Linked DNA regions of Xenopus tropicalis. The protein of the gene in region 1 interacts with the protein of each later gene in a pairwise test. Links are inferred from orthologs where the notes say so. Each region holds a gene or a part of one and is shown on either strand. Other genes may lie near its edges. The genes, in order: tnip2, nfkb1 and stk11.

Region 1 (3,517 bases):
CTTTGCGTTTAAATCTTCCACCTGGATGGGGCAAATGAAAACATTCCACCATTAGCGCCATTTATTCCTCCATTAATAGATATTTCTAATTCTATATTTCCAGGTCTGGAATCTTGTAAACTTTATCTGCACTTAACACAGCTCAGTACAAGGTCTATGTCTCTTTAAAGTGTCTTCACAATTCTGGGGAAAATACAGAGATCGATGTCGAAAGATCCCTGCGCGATGCTCAAGATGATATTACAGTAAAGATAAAAGAGGAAACAGAAATATATTTGCATTGACTTACATGAACAACTTTCTGTTTTAATAAACGGTTCTCTTCCTGAAGTTTGCTGAGAGATGACTCACTGCTGCAGTCTAGATTCGGGATCTGCAAATGATAAAGAAATAAGAAGAACTCGTTAGAAGGACAAAGCTAATTAAATACACGGCATTAAAACGGAGACAAAGGGACAAAGTAACCATTGCAACCAAAAGATAGATTATAGGCCATTCGTGATAGGACGGCATTAGATATTCTGCACTCTCTATAACATGGCATCTTTTCTGCTCCAACCTTCCGTGGTTTGGGTTATTACTGCGGATCCTGCACAAGTGCCAAGCCACCAATGTGAGGTTTCATGGGAAACCACAGATTTACAAGTGCTTTTTCATTTGTACGGTAAAGCAAACACACTGTGGGAAACTAGGGGATTATCTACAGTCATTTTTGGGAAATAAATGTAATATTACAAGTGGGTTTTACTAGGGATGCAGCAAATCCAGGATTTGGCCAACATTTGGCCTTTTTAAGCAGGATTCGGATTCAGCCAAATCAAATCCAATTTGGCTGATAAACATTGAAGTTGTACATTTTTCACTCTCTCGTTTCCATTGCAAATTCGGATTTGGTATTGGGCAGACTCTTTCGCAAAGGATTCAGGGTTCGGTTGAATCCCAAAAATAGTAGATTCAGTGCATTATTTTTTACAGACCCCTTTAATCAGTCGACAAAGAGAATTATAGTAAATATATTCCCCCCAATGTTAACCTTTAAACAGACTTTTAGTATGATGTAGAGACTGATAGCTCTCTGGTTGCTAGGGTCCAAATTAACCTAGCAACCAGGTAGTGGTTTTAATGCATAACTGGAATATGGAACGGAGAAGAGTTAAATAGAAAGATAAGAAAAAAATAACAATGAGTATAAAATTGTAGCCTCACAGAGCAACACTACTGGGGGCAGTGACCAAAGTCGGACCAAATTCTTGACCCAATGCCTCCCTAACTGGAATTTGTTCTCTCACCTTGCTGGGCCTTTCCGTGTGTGCCAGCTCCTCCATGTTCCGGTGGACATTTCTCTGTGAATCTTCGAGACACTTGACCAGGTGCTGACACATTTCGGCGGTGGCGGCCAGCTTGCGGCGGAGTTGTTGGCTTTCGTCGGACAAAGACTGGCACAGGACTTCGCTGGTGGCCTGAGCCCTCTCTTTATTGGCCAGCGTCTGCTGAAGGCGGCAGATTTCCAGTTCTTTCTCGTGCTGAGGCCAGCTGGCGTATTGCTGGACCTGCTTATCCTTATCTTCCAGCTGCTGATGGAGCCTCGTAATTTCCTGCAAACAGAAGAGTTCTGCCTTTAAAACACATTTCAATTCAAAAACACCTAGAGGTAAAAAATAGGCTGCACGTGCCGTAGCTACCGGGGGGCAAGTCTTGGGTTTCTATCCTGGAACAATACAGACTGTCTGGTTTGGATTCTCAAGTGTAATTCTTAGTTTACTGCCTTATATAATTATATAACATTTTGCAGTAGTTCTGAAATTATGTTTTTTTTGCAGTTCTCTAGCAGAGTGGGTAAACTTCTGATTAGTACAGTCAATGACCCAATCAACTAGGAAAAACCACTGAAATGGAACAATAGTAGGTAAAAGCTCAAACATAAACATAACAAGCTTTGGTTAAATAAAAACAAGATTTACTACCAAATAAAGCCCCTGTAAGCTGATAGTGTGCATAGAGGCTTCCTAATAGCCAATCACAGCCCTTATTTGGCACCTCCATGAACTTTTATGGTGCTTGTGTTGCTCCCCAAGTCTTTTTACATTCGACTGTGGCTCACGAGTAAGAAAGGTTGGGGATCCCTGCCCAAAGGCTATCATCCCACTAGGTACCATCTCTCCCTACTATACCTGCTATCCCACAGCCCCAGTCCCTTCCCAGAGGCTATTATCCCCCCACTGCTACTATAGGCACCATCTCTCCCTACTATACCTGCTATCCCACAGCCCCAGTCCCTTCCCAGAGGCTATTATCCCTCCACTGCTACTATAGGCACCATCTCTCCCTACTATACCTGCTATCCCACAGCCCCAGTCCCTTCCCAGAGGCTATTATCCCCCCACTGCTACTATAGGCACCATCTCTCCCTACTATACCTGCTATCCCACAGCCCCAGTCCCTTCCCAGAGGCTATTATCCCCCCACTGCTACTATAGGCACCATCTCTCCCTACTATACCTGCTATCCCACAGCCCCAGTCCCTTCCCAGAGGCTATTATCCCCCCACTGCTACTATAGGCACCATCTCTCCCTACTATACCTGCTATCCCACAGCCCCAGTCCCTTCCCAGAGGCTACTATCTCCCCACTGCTACTATAGGCACCATCTCTCCCTACTATACCTGCTATCCCACAGCCCCAGTCCCTTCCCAGAGGCTATTATCCCCCCACTGCTACTATAGGCACCTCTCTCCCTACTATACCTGCTATCCCACAGCCCCAGTCCCTTCCCAGAGGCTATTATCCCCCCACTGCTACTATAGGCACCATCTCTCCCTACTATACCTGCTATCCCACAGCCCCAGTCCCTTCCCAGAGGCTATTATCCCCCCACTGCTACTATAGGCACCATCTCTCCCTACTATACCTGCTATCCCACAGCCCCAGTCCCTTCCCAGAGGCTATTATCCCCCCACTGCTACTATAGGCACCATCTCTCCCTACTATACCTGCTATCCCACAGCCCCAGTCCCTTCCCAGAGGCTATTATCCCCCCACTGCTACTATAGGCACCATCTCTCCCTACTATACCTGCTATCCCACAGCCCCAGTCCCTTCCCAGAGGCTATTATCCCCCCACTGCTACTATAGGCACCATCTCTCCCTACTATACCTGCTATCCCACGGCCCCAGTCCTTTCCCAGAGGCTATTATCCCCCCACTGCTACTATAGGCACCATCTCTCCCTACTATACCTGCTATCCCACGGCCCCAGTCCTTTCCCAGAGGCTATTATCCCCCCACTGCTACTATAGGCACCTCTCTCCCTACTATACCTGCTATCCCACGGCCCCAGTCCTTTCCCAGAGGCTATTATCCCCCCACTGCTACTATAGGCACCATCTCTCCCTACTATACCTGCTATCCCACGGCCCCAGTCCTTTCCCAGAGGCTATTATCCCCCCACTGCTACTATAGGCACCATCTCTCCCTACTATACCTGCTATCCCACGGCCCCAGTCCTTTCCCAGAGGCT
Region 2 (2,921 bases), about 52 Mb from region 1:
AGGTGATATCATATATAAATGGAAAGGCCAAACACTAAAGGCATTGTGATATTGTAGACAGTTATTTCTGATGCAAAAAACAGACTGCATATATATCAGAATGATTTTTCTGTTGTGGTATTTTAATTTATTACTTCCTCCTCCCAATATGTAGGTTCTTGAAATTCTGAATGGCAAGCCTTACAAGTCAGAAGTGGCTCCTGAAGACTCCTTGCCACAAGGTATTGGCACAGCACTCTATAGTAAATATACATAAATGGAGGGCACTCACTTCGCATACAAAAAAACAACAATATAGATGTTTGGTGCAAGAAACCCAAAAGCAGTACCCCCATACAGGGCACCAAAAACAGTCATTTTAAATAGGATGAGGGTTTGCACACAAGAAACACAAGCACAATGATAGTATTAAAAAATATAGTCCTTTATATAGTATACAAAAGATTTAACAGCAGTCAATTTTAATTGCAAGATTACAAAAGATAATACATAGATTTATAAGATAATACATACCCACAAAATGTGCCCCCCTTGAGAAAGGCTCTTTGCCGAAATGTTGGGGTATTTCTCATCTTTGGCAAGTGTATCCACTAACTTGTGTGTCTCCTTTTGCCTATGCGCATTTTGTGGTATGTATTATCTTATAAATCTATGTATTATTTTTTGTAATCTTGCAATTAAAATTGACTGCTGTTAAATCTTTTGTATACTATATAAAGGATTATATTTTTAATACTACCACTGTGCTTGTGTTTCTTGTGTGCAAACCCTCATCCTATTTAAAATTGGCACAGCACTCTGCCTGTCCTGAACATTCTCAGTATTTAAGGACCAGTAACACAAAAACAATGAAAGTGTTTGATAAGCATATCATTTAATTGTACTGTTGCCCTGAACTTGCGTTTGCTTCAGAAGTACTACTATAATTTATATAAATAAATGTAGCCCCTGAGCTCATCCAGTTACATTTCCAAAAGTTTGGACAAACAGGGAAATTATTTATATATCTATATATATGTATATAATCTGGACTTTAACACAATATAGTTTTTACGTACTTATGAAATAAATTGCCTATATAAAAAAAATGAATACAATTCGGTTCTTACCCATAAAAAGTTTTGACACCCTGTGTTTAATAATATGATCATCAATAAATCATAAATTGTTCATACAATAGGAACGTTAAGCTTCTATTTCTCTTAAATTATTTCTTTATTTTGAAGGTGACATGAAAAACCTTAGTGGAGAGGTAAAGCAGAGGCTGTACACCTTGTTAGAAAGCCGAGATTTGGACAAGAACTGGGTCACTTTAGCACAGAAGCTGGGCCTTGGAATGCTGAACAATGCTTTCAGATTAAGCCCCCACCCATCTAAAACATTACTGGACAACTTTGAGGTAAGCACTGTGCTTTAGTTCTGTATCCATTCTAAATTTAAACACTTGGAACTTTATTTGTCAATTCCAAATAAACATGGTTCATATGAGGGGTGTTGTCATGGCCTTTAATGCATACTTAAAGGGCATGTCAACGCCAAAAATAAATTTTTGCACAATAAAAAAAAATTATATATATAATCATAAGCAACTTTCCAATATGAATTTGTTAAATATTTTCAGTGCTTTAAAAGTTATTTGTAAATGTAGTTGCTATTGAAAGCAGCATTTGCTGAACTCCTGGTTGTTAGCTTTTAAACAATGTTCTCCTCCAGCAAGTCTGGTCTGTAAAATCTGCTGGCATTTGTTATATTGTTTCAAATGCCAGAGCCACCAGGGCAGAGAATAGAAAGGACAGGCAGACACTGCTTTTAATAGCAGCTATATATACAAATAACCATTACAAATTTTTGTTTTTTTTTATTAGGCAAAAACATTATATTCTGGATTGACATGTCCTTTAAACTCATTTAATGTCAGCAATGCAGGGAGTGTTTTTTCACTATATATTCACCTATATATATATATATATAGACATCTTTACTAGAGTTTGAAGCATTGTTGGAATGTTTTTAGACAGAGAGTGTTCTCCTGGCATCTATTATACAGCCGGGTGGTAAAATGCCATTTATCACTTCAGAAGACGCATTTTCACTTCTCCAGAGTCCAAAGACTGCTGAGGACACATCATTTTAGACAATGAATCTGTATACATTTGGCCACATAGCATATGTGTCCATAACTAAAACCAACCAAACTGCTATGCAAACAAAACCGACACTGAACATTTGAGGTCATTCCAATCATCAGCATTAATTTGCAGTATGTCTCCAGCCCACTATATATGGCAGTTAGCAAAGGGATTGCCCTTTTGTTAACAGTGTATAGAGTAAATACAAGACACTAGCCCTGTATTGTCAGGTGTCCTTAGAAATCCCTCAGTTCAGAAATGGAGATTGTTGGGAGAGTGAGGAACTGACCAGCAGCTGCCTGAGAAGATTTCTGTACCACATATTCCTATACCCAAAGGGGTTGGCAAGGGGAATATTTGTGAGTGCTTCAAGGGAACTCTCTGATATAGTGAAGGCCTCATTCTCAGTTGAAGGAGAGAACCACCAGTCCACACATTAGCTGTGTAGCTAAGTAATAAAGAAAGAAGTGTGGGGGCCGGCCCTCAATTCAGTTTAGGCTTATTCTCCTTAAAATTAACTTTTAGTTAAAGTACTAGCCTTGATGTTTGATTGGTTGCTATAGGTTACTGCACCTGGGCAAATTTAGTGCCTTTAATTACATAACCCCCATAGCGTCTATACATCTATTTTACAAATGTTGAAATGAAACATTTGGTTGTGCTTTGTTGAAGGTTTCTGGTGGAACCATGACAGAACTCCTGGATGCCTTAAAACTGATGCATTACACTGAAGCTGTTGAGGCCATTGAGCAGTCACAAGCTATCCTTAAGCTGTCTGGGACTTCTACGCCA
Region 3 (3,661 bases), about 78 Mb from region 1:
GCCAAGTGACTAGAGCATAAAGAAATTGAAAGTTACACAAAAATATGGTAATTTCTGTGGTGGCCTTCTACTGGTGCCAATGTAATGCTTCAGTAGACAGGATTTTGAGTCCAGACAGACAGACAGAAATTTGATGGGATTGAACAATCTTCTATCAAAATGGCATCTCAAAATGATCAGTTTGGCCCCTTAACCAGCTTTGTTTTAATTAAAATAGTCCATAGCTACATGCTGAAGCAAATAGTATTTTCTAACAAATCAGGTGTCAACATGGCTGTCGTCCACAGTAAGTGCAGTGGTGAATGTAGATACTCACAGCGTTACTCCTGCTGACCAGATGTCCACTTTGAATCCTGAGAAGGTATCCAGGCCATTGGCAATCTCTGGAGGCTGAAAAGCTGGAGATCCTTGGCTGGTCCTACAAGTATCACCTTCAGCAAACGGGTGCAAAGCCTGCAAAAGGAAAAAAAAAAAAGTCAAATGGCCAAATGTTTAAGATCTCTTATAAATAATCCACAGCTACATACCTCTGCCACCCCCAAGTCTGAGATTTTGAGTGTCCCATCTGTTGTTAGCAGCAAATTCCCTGGTTTAATGTCTTTGTGAACAATTCCCTGACTGTGAAGGTACTCCAGACCATCAATGAGTTGGCAAAAATAACTGTGGATCAAAAGAGTTCATTGTGTTAAAAAGGCTAGTTCAACTTTAAGGTAACTTTTAGTATGTTTTAGAATAACATATTCTTAGCAACTTTACAGAACAGTCAAAAAGATTGCTCTGTGAGCCTTTAACTGTATTGTTGCTGTTACTTTGTATTACTTATATATCTACTCAGGTTCACAATCTTCAGTCTGGCATTCAAACCACTACCTTATTGCTAAGGTATATTCATCCCTGGCAATCAGGGTTGAAATGTCAAACTGGAAAGCTGCTGAATAAAAAGGTTAATCGTAAGTGTAACAGATCTTGCCAGACTAATTTAATCGCCTTTTATGAGGAGGTGAGCAGGAACCTCGATGCTGGAATGGCAGTTGATGTCATCCACTCGGACTTTGTGTTTGATACAGTACCTCACAGAGGGTTAATGATCAAATTGAGGAATATTGGCCTTGAACATAATATTTGTAATTGGATAGAGAACTGGCTGAAGGATAGATTACAAAGAGTGGTGGTAAATGGAACATTTTCTAATTGGACCAGTGTTGTTGTTGTGTGGAGTACCGCTGGGGTCAGTCCTTGGTCCTTTGCTTTTTAACTTGTTTATTAATGACCTGGAGGTGGGCATAGACAGTACTGTTTCTATTTTTGCTGATGACACAAAACTGTGCAAAACTATAAGTTCCATGCAGGATGCTGCCACTTTGCAGAGCGATTTGACAAAATTGGGCAGCAAACTGGAAAATTAGGTTCAATGTTGACAAGTGCAAAGTTATGTACTTTGGTAGAAATAATATAAACGTGAACTATCTACTGAATGGTAGTGTATTGGGGGTATCTTTAATGGAGAAGGGCTTTTTGTAGATAACAAGTTGTCTAATTCCAGGCAGTGTCATTCTGTGGCTACTAAAGCGAATAAAGTGCTGTCTTGTACAAAAAGGGCATTGACTCAAGGGATGAAAACATAACTTTGCATCTTTATAGGTCCCTGGTAAGGACTCACCTTGAGTATGCAGTGCAGTTTTGGCCTCCAGTCCTTAAGAAGGATATTAATGAGCAAGGAGAGAGTGCAGAGACGTGCAACTAAACTGGTAAAGGGGATGGAATATTTAAGCTATGAGGTTAGACTGTCATGGTTGGGGTTGTTTTCTCTGGAAAAGAGGTGCTTGTAAGGGGACATGATTACTCTGTACAAAAACATTAGAGGGGATTATAGGCAGATAGGGGTTGTTCTTTTTTCCCATAAAAACGATCAATGCACCAGAGGCCACCCCTTTAGATTAGAGAAACAGAGCTTCCATTTGAAGCAGCGTAGGTGTTTTTTCACGGTGAGGGCAGTGAGGTTGTGGAATGTCCTTTCTAGTGATGTTGTAATGGCAGACTCTGTTAATGCCTTTAAGAGGGGCCTGGATGAGTTCTTGAACAAGCATAGCATCCAAGGCTATTGTGATAGTAAAATCTACAGTTAGTATTAGTAGTTGTGTATATATAGTTTATGTATGTGAGTGTATAGATTGTGTGTGCTGGGTTTACTTGGAAGGGTTGAACTTGATGGACTCTAGTCTTTTTTCAACCCTATGTAACTATGTAACAATTCCACAAAATAAACCTTTTTTTAAAAGGTTTCAAACTGTCGTAATTTATCATACAAGCCGATTTCCAAAAAAAAAAAAAAAAAAGTTGGGACACCGTGTAATACGTCAATAAAACCAGAATCTAATGATTTTCAGTAGTACAAAGACAACATAGCAAATGCTGAAACAGAGAACTTTTTAATCCTGAAATATATATGCTCATTTTAATTTAATGCCAGGAAAATATTTTTTTAAAATACTGGAACTGCTCAACAGTTCAGGTCACCTTTGTTGTATTTTTCATTTAATTATGCCATGCTTTTTAATAGGTACAGAATGTGGTTTGGCATTGTATTGCTGAAATAAGCAAGTCCTTTCCCTAAAAAAGATGTTGTCTGGATGGCAGCATATTTTGCTTCAAAACCTGTATATATCATTCACCATTAATGGTACTTCCCAGATGTGCAGGCTGCCTATGCCATGTGGACTAATTCATCCCCCATAATATCACGGATGCTGCCTTTTGAACTGTGCCAGAGGACATGGTGTCCATGATATCCAAAAAAAAAATTAAAATTTTGATTTATCAGACAAGATAGTTTTCCACTTTGCCTCAGTCCATCTGGAATGGTGATGTTTCTGGATCGTGTTAATATATTGTTTTTCTTTTCATTTTAGAAGAAAATAAAAACATTTAGAAATTACTGATGCAGTAATGCAGTCCATGCACTACAGAGTCATACCAGTTTTTAATGCAGGGATGCCTAAGGGCCCATGGTTCACGCCCATCCAATAGCATTTGCCTTATCCCTTGCCAACAGAGAATTCTTTGGAATCTCTGAATCTTTTAATGATATTGTGTACTATAGATGGTGTATGTAGATACTGAATTCCCCAAATTCTTTGCAATTTTATGTTGAGAAACATTATTAAATGTTTGCAATATTTGCCTGTGCAGTGTTTTATAGAGTGGAGTGTCTCTCCCCATCTTTACTTCTAAAAGACCCAGCATTATACAACCTGCTTGTTGCTGGCATCAAAATAAGCATTTCTATCTTTCAGAAAACAATAACATTTCTCAGTCTTACAATTGCTATGTGTTCTTTGTAATATTTTCAACTAAATCTAGAGTTTAAATTATTTGCAGACAATCCCATTCTTTTTTTTATTTTCATTTTTTAAAGTGTCCTGACTTGGAGGCTTGTACCAAAGGCTAATTTGAAGTTAATTAACCCCTTTAAAAAGGTTCAGGTAGTACACAATTCACACACCTAGACATCTCAAGAACACAAGGGAAGGCAAAAACTAGTGGATAAAAACTTGAGAAAACATGCAGAAATATGCTACAATACCACTACAATCTTGAAAACAGTCTGAAAATACCAACTAAATGCCAAAGTATCAAAACAATGGCAAAAAAAGGTAAAGCA

What was found.
Region 2: the proteins of tnip2 (region 1) and nfkb1 interact in binary tests that used the Homo sapiens proteins (3 or more experiments, as listed by UniProt). The link is inferred for Xenopus tropicalis from reciprocal best matches to the Homo sapiens genes TNIP2 and NFKB1.
Region 3: the proteins of tnip2 (region 1) and stk11 interact in binary tests that used the Homo sapiens proteins (3 or more experiments, as listed by UniProt). The link is inferred for Xenopus tropicalis from reciprocal best matches to the Homo sapiens genes TNIP2 and STK11.

What each region holds. Positions count from the first base shown.
Region 1 is NC_030677.2:21,860,769-21,864,285, forward strand, and holds part of tnip2 (TNFAIP3-interacting protein 2), read right to left. Parts: intron 1,596-3,517; coding exon 1,290-1,595; intron 374-1,289; coding exon 290-373; intron 22-289; coding exon 1-21. UniProt on the Homo sapiens protein: Inhibits NF-kappa-B activation by blocking the interaction of RIPK1 with its downstream effector NEMO/IKBKG.
Region 2 is NC_030677.2:73,609,899-73,612,819, reverse strand, and holds part of nfkb1 (nuclear factor NF-kappa-B p105 subunit), read left to right. Parts: intron 1-154; coding exon 155-221; intron 222-1,226; coding exon 1,227-1,399; intron 1,400-2,801; coding exon 2,802-2,921.
Region 3 is NC_030677.2:100,082,281-100,085,941, forward strand, and holds part of stk11 (serine/threonine-protein kinase STK11), read right to left. Parts: intron 661-3,661; coding exon 528-660; intron 454-527; coding exon 317-453; intron 1-316. UniProt on the Homo sapiens protein: Tumor suppressor serine/threonine-protein kinase that controls the activity of AMP-activated protein kinase (AMPK) family members, thereby playing a role in various processes such as cell metabolism, cell polarity, apoptosis and DNA damage response.